Linked DNA regions of Neurospora crassa OR74A. Each later gene encodes a partner of the first gene's protein in a complex. Links are inferred from orthologs where the notes say so. Each region holds a gene or a part of one and is shown on either strand. Other genes may lie near its edges.

Region 1 (4,349 bases):
AAATGAGGATGAAGAGGATAGACAATGCCGAAGAGATTAAGAGATGAGTAACAGAAACTTAATGTGTGTTTTTTTAACCAGTAGGAGAAAACCTACGCGCACTCCATGTTCTCCTTGGTGCACCCTATTATCTTAGACCACTGTACCTTAACAATATGCCAATTCTATAGTTGTCAAAGTCTCCTTCATTGATCCCTTTGCATCAGGTCGCAAGTTCTGATGAACGTGTTTTTGGAAACGTCGTGACAAAGTACCAGGAGGGGGTGAGAAAGTGAGGACGCAACTACAGAGAGAACAGTCCACATTTCATCTCCCCTCTCACCAACTTCATCTTCCTCTCACGTATAAGATAAACAAGAGCAATGTGAAGAAAGCACAAGGCAAAATAGATACTAAACAACCTCTAGTTTGGATGAATGGAAGGCGCGCAAGCTTGGGAGGAACTTCCAGGCTCGATCTCGTCGTCCGGTCTTTTACTCTTGCCGGTTGCGTATTCCCATTTCTTCCTTTACGATGCTTGTTATACAAAACAAGGGCTTACACATCCTGGAATTGTACAATGCGTGTAAATTGCGTAGTACCATATTCTCTCTTACACAGCCTTCTCCTCATGCCAGAGCAGTCAATACGTAGAGGAAGGATTTATCATGTCATGTACTTCGTTGATGCCTCGTAAAAAATTTGACTTCTTAATGCTACACATACAGACGATGATCTTCCTTCTCCCTGGCCTCGGCTACTTTTTTGGTATTATACACTGAGAAAGAAGGACACAGATGCCACCCCGACGAGGGTTGTGTCTCTCTTTGTCGAAAGCAGAGCCAAGCAGCCACCATCCAGACCCTCTTCATTCCCCGTTCCGTCCCAACCCCCCTTTGTATTGGTATATGTGGCGGGGGTGTGCGTGTGTGTACATGTATGTCCGTTGCGCGCAAATCTGTATACAACATCTCGTCTTTGGCAAAAAGAGCAAGAAACAATGGAAGGAAAGGGAGTGACTGGATGGGAGAGGACCATCCATTTAATATCCCCTTCCTTCGCAGGACGGAAATTGCCCGCTCTCAACAGGACAGGACAAGAGTGGAAAGGTAAGCTGAGCTTTTAGACCACACCAACAAAATCCACTCGTTGTTTTGTTTCCCTCTCGATCCTCTTGCGTCGATTTCCACAAGGGGAACCTATCCCGAGTTGATGGGCCGCACAACCAATAAAACCGAGAGTGTAAGCAGGCCATCTGCGACTCTCTTTTTACCTTTCGTTTCATACACTTCCTAAGTTCTCTACTGCCCTGCCGTACTGTCCGCCGCCATGCTCCGTGTTTCAGCCTCCTCATTTAGCGGGAGATAACCTCACCCATATCAATGTATGCTGGCGTCCAGGGCTTGGCACCCTCCTCCAGCATATCACTGGGTACCCGAGGGTTCTCGCCAGGGCTGTAGAGATACCAAGCCTTCAGGGCGTTCATGGCGGCCTTGAAGCGGGCGTGGTCGAGAGAGGAGGCGGCGCCCTCGCCGAGCTTGTCGCTGCCGCTGTATATACCGACAACAAAAACGGGGGTGCGCGACTGGCGACCCGTCTCGGAGAGGAGACGAGCCACGGGGGGCTCGAAATCCTCACGGGCGCAGAGCGCGGCGAGCTCGCGGGTGGGGTACTTGAATTCGAAGAGCTTGGCAATGTCGAGGGTGCGCGACATGATGTGCGCCTTGACAAAGGCCTTGGCGGCCTCGCGGCCGCAGTGGGCGTAGATGGCACCGACGACGGCGCGCACAAAGTAGGCGTGGGCCCGCTCAGCAGCGGCCCGGGTGTCGGGGTTGCCGTAGCGGTCGTAGCTCACGTCCTGGTCCTGCTCATTAGCGACCATCTCGGCCTCCTCCTCGTCGGGAGTCTTGTCCTGATCCTGCTCTTCCATCGCCTTCTCCAGATCGGCGGCAACCTTGGGGTCGCTGCGCACGACATCACCAAAGTCGTCGTCGAGAACGACACGCGAGGCCATACCGCGACGCCACTTGAACTTCTCGAGGTAGGCGAGCTCTGTACGCTTGTAGCCGAAATTTGTGATGGCGACGCCGGGCTTAAGGGCATCGAACTGCAGAAGACCGGGATCCACCTCGCCGCCGGGCACCGCGGCGGTATCAACACCCCATGACCGCGCAATCTGGAGCAAGGGCTTCGGTCCGGCATAAGCCTTCATGGCACTGAAGAGAATTCCCTGGGGTAGACGGGGGTATTTGCAGAGGAGCCATTCGGCAATATGGTAGTTGATGAGGGTCTGGCCAACGAAGGCGAGGTTGGCGTTGTTGAACTGCGGGTTCTCGTCGGCCGAGGCGTCGACCAGTGTCCTTGCCAATGTCTGTAAGGGGATCTTGGGAGAAAGATTCAAACGGGCGTGGAGGGCGGCCAGTTTGGCCGAGGTCAAGGCCCGTTCGGGGAGGGGCGACGGTAGGGACTCGGCCGCGGGGGGGAGGGGCTCAAGCGGGGGGAACCGATCATTGTTGAGATCGTGGGATGCATCGTGCTGAGCGAGGGCAGCTGTCGATTGCGATCGCACCGAGATTGCAGATCGGGATCGGATGGCGGCAGTGGCGGGCGACACTCCGGAGCGAGCGGCGACGAGCAGCCGGCTCGTCAAGCTGGGCGTTGCTATCCTCTTCATGGGCGATATATTTGATGGGTGATGGTCGGCTCGACAACCGGGTGTTGACGTGCTGGGGCCCAGGTTCCGTAAGTGTGCGCCGTCTGGAGGCCCTGCCAAGAAAAGGATGGAGTGAGGGAAATCGGACGGGCAGGTGGTGAGCCGGTGGTCGCGGGGTGGGAAGCTACTCGGGATCCCGGTCGGAGTCGCGCGTTGATCGGATGGGTTCTCGTTCAGACTCGGCCGGCCGTCGAACACGGGTAGAAAAAAAAAGTTCTCCAATCTGAACGCTCACCACCCGTACACTAGACAAGCCCACCACCCAGAGCCGTGAATCAGTGCTCAAGCGCAGGGGTTACTCCCCCAAGACCGAGACATAAAAGCCGGCTGACATGATTCGTTGTTGGCCCAGTGAGGGTCCCCACAAGATCCATCTTCGACCCCAATCCACTATCTGCGCTGTCTGTTTAGCATACGGTGCACTGTGGTGGACAAGCGGGAGCTGCCCGCCCGCCGCCCGCCGCCCGTCTGTCGCATGCGCCCTCGGCCCCAGTTAGGACGAGTGACATGGTGACTTTCAGGCCTGGATGGTTGATGCGATTTAGCCCCTCGTCAGCCTGTAGGCGGATTCATCATTCGTCCTTCTATCCAATTGTTCCCGCTGAAGCATCACCACTATTGTGCCGTCGTTCGCAGTGCATCGCAAAGTTGACAGTACAAACCGATCTTGCTTAACTGCGAGGTGGAAAGAATCATTCCTCGTTGAACGTCCAACCTACCTCACCACATATCCCAAAACTTCATCACAATGGTGCGTATCCACCCGATTGCTTAGAATAGCCATCATCACTACTATGTTTTGTGTCTGCTAACTCTCTATTTTTCCTGTCTATAGGGCGGCGGTCCCCAAGTTCCGTGAGTTTCATCGCCCTCGACATGCGCAAACCCTCCGCGCATTCTGTCCAACCCAGCCTGCGTTGTGTCATGGATCCGTCCTAATCGTTGCCTCGCCCTTCACTCCAGCTACCCCAAACACGTCTGGTCGCCTTCGGGTGGTTGGTACGCCCAGCCGGCCAACTGGAAGAAGAACACGGCTGTTCTCGGTGGCGTCGTCTTCCTCATCACTGCCGCAGTCTGGAAGCTTAGCGCCGAGAAAGAGTACCGTCACAAGATGCCCGAGCCTGGTCGCTTTTATCCCAGCAGATAGTATGTCCTGGCAGACAGACCCCCATCCAAATTTTTATACATGCGTAACGTTTTCCGCGAGCGCAGACCGCGGGGATGTTCTTAAGCTGACGCAACCGATATTACCTCCACTAGCTGGAGCAGACAGATTATCGAGTATGAGCGGGCGCAAAAGGAGAACGGGACGACACAGGAGAAAAAGTAAATTTGGGCATAGGCCCTGCCACCCCGGCCGTTTGGTCATACAGTACATGGCTTCCAAAGGCTTGATGGAATAACAGGACATCTTGGCTTGGTTGAGGCCGGCCGGTTGGTGGTAGTAATGCAATATTCGGAATACATTCAACGTCGGTTACCCTCCGCTGGCCGTCTTGCGTTGGTGCTCCAGAGCCTGGCTACGTCGTGAATAAAGCTAACTTTGATGTGGATCAGTTCTGTAATGGATTATAGAGGAAACTACCTCTATTCTTACCGTTTCGTACTATTGGCGAATACTAGTGAACTCACAGAGAAGAGCCCACCTTCCATGACT
Region 2 (3,213 bases), on another chromosome or scaffold:
CCCGAGAACCAGTTCGCCTTCACTGGCGAGTGCAAGAACAAGACGTGAGTTTTTTGTACCGCTTTGTCACCGCAACTGCTACATTGGCTAACAAATAACAACAGGTACGCCATGGACGTCGTCCGTGAGTGCAACGAAGCCTGGGAGCGTCTCATCACCGGCAAGACTGCCCCTGGCGGTGTCTCCACCACCAACGTCACTGTCCAGCACTCCAGCAGCCGTGTTGCCCCTGACCAGCTTCCTCCCCTCCCTCCCAACGAGAATCTCCCCCCTGCCCCTATCGATAGCTCCATCGACAAGTGGTTCTTCATCAGCGGTGCTTCCGCTTAGAGAGTTCGTTTGTTGAGGTAGAATAAAGATAATTTATTGGCACTTTGTTGTATTGGTCAATTCGTCGTGAACAATCCTCCATGGTGTTACCCTCATGCGTTGTTTTGCGTAGAGTCGAACGTCTTTGCAACAAGGTATGCGCGGTCAGAGATTGGCCATTTCTGAGGCTGTAGTCCATGCCGTGGGATAGGGACTTGTCGAGGAGATGCTCGACATTCTTGCGCCATGAGTTTCGCCGTTGAAATATACCGATACCGTTGATGAATTCCCCATCGAAGGAAACACGGTCGCCAAAACAAAAACAAAAAAAAAAAAAAAGGCCGATCTCAACTTTGACTTTGTCAAAATGGGCGTACCGTGATGTGTGTGAATCAATCCATGGCAGAGGTGCTATATACGCATGTCTATAACAACAGGTACCCAAACTGCCTTGCCAACTGAAAATCGCCGGCCCCTTAACGCCTCCCAATGCTGTTGGTGTACACTTACAACCTCTTGCCCAATACAAATACAGGTTCATATCTTTTGTTGTTGTTTTCTTCTTTTTGGCTGGTAAGGCGATCTTACAGATCTCTCAGAGAGGTCGTCAGGTATCCGGCTCCAAGCTCGCTGGCTTTACCCAGGTGATTCGAATGTGCCTTTAGATATCCAGACTTTTCCTCTTCTCCTCCCGGTCAATCGTCATTTTGGTACCACGGACCAAAGCCAAGTAGTCTGGGTATCAAGACAAGATGGGCTTTCGTCGCTCTTCCCGTGGCTTTTCCCTCCTTTTTCCTAGTCTCAGTCTCCCTCGTTTTACCCGCAAAGTTCGATTGGTGGATCAAAACACAACAAGGGCGTCTCGAGATTGCTGGGTTTTGAAGAAGAAAAGAAAGACAGAGATTCGGTTAACCGTCGTTCAAGTCGGCCTGCTTCTGAAGGATACGAGAGTGGCGATCCACCTCCTCGACAATGCTTTTGATGCCCATGTTCTCAACGTCGAGGTTCATTTCCTTGCCGTCCTCTGTTTTTTTTCAAATACGTTAGACTACGGCTTGATTCACAGCTAACGACTCTTGATTGCCTTCCAGCCGGAATGATCCAAATTGCAACAACCAACTGCAACGGCGGTCCGTCGATGTGTGACAGAGTTGCAAGTGACAAGAAGAGAGACATTGGGAAAACGTACTGAACTTGACGTAGAGCAAAGGAGTCTCGGTGGAATTCCGCGGCAGAAGCTGGGTGGTGATGTTCATGCCATTGGAGCGGGCGTTGGGAGGGAGGAAGGAGAGGAAGAGCCGGGCGGCCTTGGCCTTGGCCGAGAAAGGGTTGAAGCGCGTTGATACGTCGGTGATGAAGCGGGTGAGCATGTTGGGCGAGGTCTCTCGGGTGGTGGTGGTGGTGACCTGAGGTCGTGTTGGGGTTGGGTTCGGGGAGGAAGAAGAAGAAGAAGAAGAAGCAGGAGGAACGCGGAGGCCTGACTGCGACTTTGCGAATTTGCGACGACGGGACTGCACTGCACACCGGACGGGGACGGATACGGAGACGCGGGAGACGGGAGACGGGTCTCTGTGGAGGATCGGACGGGGTACGTAGCTTGTGTGTCGCGATTTGGACTTCGATTCGGTCTTCGTGCCTGGCGCCGGCCGGCAGCGTGGAGGAGGGATGCGATCAAAAATTACTGGAGGTACGTACCGATTGCGCCGGGGACCGGGAGGGGTGTTTTTTGTAAAACGGAGAATGCGGGACGGCGCGTGCTACGTGTGAGAGATGGGCTGTGATTGGTTGGGAGCCAACTGGGATCAAACGGTGTCAGGCTCGATTTTGCATTCATATTTACACTACATCAGATCAATTGACATAATACATCTTTTTAATCTTCTGAACGGGAAGAGAATCACTTCTGGCCTTCTATTACATTGTGTTAGTCTGTAGCCCTGAGTGTGTAAGTTTGTGCTTTGTTCCTTCAGCGCAACAGTACGTACTCCCATTTGCCCCAGCGAGTTGTAACTTGAACTCCGTTACCGAATTCCGCATGTGATCCGTTTTCATTGACCTTGAGGATGACGTTGCAAGAGCCACGCCCACCGAGAACTTCCATTGAACATCGCTACAGTGCTCTCCTTTCAGGCCAGGTTTCCACTAATTATCAACAACAGCACAGCTGCTGATCAACACCAGGTACCTAAGTGGGATCCGACTACGATCCATGGAAACCATTTGTTACACATCCACCTTTTTCCAACACATATCTATCTACCTTTACCGAGTCAACTCCCTACGAATGCAATACCGACATAATACAACAAGTCACTAATGTCAACATTCGAAACGCTTCAAGAGCGGCTCACGGCCCTCCAAGAGACGACCGGCCAGCTTAAGGACCTCATCGAGCGTCTCGCCACGCTCAAATTCGAGCCCGGTTCCGTTCCTTTGAGCAACAGCATCAGCAGTCTCGCGAACACTGGCGCCGATGGAACCACCAACAGTGAGGCCGCTGACTTGAGCGCCGAAATCAGCCAGGTCTTGCGCGAGGAGGAGGAGGATTTGGAGTTGCTGCAGGAGGAGATTATCGACTTGCGCTCCGGCCGCCCAGGGAGTGAGGCGGAACATCAAAAGACGAGGTTAAAGGAGGGCGCGCAACGCTTGGCTGCCGAGCTTAAGGGGTGAGTTTTGTTTCTCATCTTTTCAGCCTGGATGGTGATGACGATGATGAAGATGAAGATAAACAACGTACCTAACAAAATTGCGTCTCAAAAAAATACAGCTGTCGAACCTCCTTCCGCAAAGCCCAACTCGCGGCGCGCCGCAACCTTGAAACCGCCCAGCGCCTCGAGCGCCAGCTCCTCTTAGCCTCCTACGTTGCCGTCGCCGCCAACCTCGCCGCATCAGACCGCGGATCAG

Evidence for each region. The genes of interacting proteins can lie anywhere in the genome.
Region 2: NCU08299 (region 1) and NCU00952 share a complex: the UniProt entries of both Saccharomyces cerevisiae proteins name them as parts of the mitochondrial large ribosomal subunit. The link is inferred for Neurospora crassa OR74A from reciprocal best matches to the Saccharomyces cerevisiae genes MRPL3 and MRPL44.

The regions. Positions count from the first base shown.
Region 1 is NC_026504.1:2,488,198-2,492,546, reverse strand, and holds NCU08299 (mitochondrial 54S ribosomal protein YmL3), read right to left. Parts: upstream 2,944-4,349; 5' UTR 2,654-2,943; coding exon 1,334-2,653; 3' UTR 555-1,333; downstream 1-554. Other genes in the region: NCU08300 (uncharacterized protein), read left to right, coding at 3,441-3,443, 3,528-3,547, 3,656-3,838, 3,953-4,022. UniProt on the Saccharomyces cerevisiae protein: Component of the mitochondrial ribosome (mitoribosome), a dedicated translation machinery responsible for the synthesis of mitochondrial genome-encoded proteins, including at least some of the essential transmembrane subunits of the mitochondrial respiratory chain.
Region 2 is NC_026501.1:6,595,464-6,598,676, reverse strand, and holds NCU00952 (mitochondrial 54S ribosomal protein YmL44), read right to left. Parts: upstream 1,974-3,213; 5' UTR 1,680-1,973; coding exon 1,499-1,679; intron 1,334-1,498; coding exon 1,218-1,333; 3' UTR 652-1,217; downstream 1-651. Other genes in the region: NCU00951 (inorganic pyrophosphatase), read left to right, coding at 1-44, 105-330; NCU00953 (hypothetical protein), read left to right, coding at 2,626-2,975, 3,077-3,213. UniProt on the Saccharomyces cerevisiae protein: Component of the mitochondrial ribosome (mitoribosome), a dedicated translation machinery responsible for the synthesis of mitochondrial genome-encoded proteins, including at least some of the essential transmembrane subunits of the mitochondrial respiratory chain.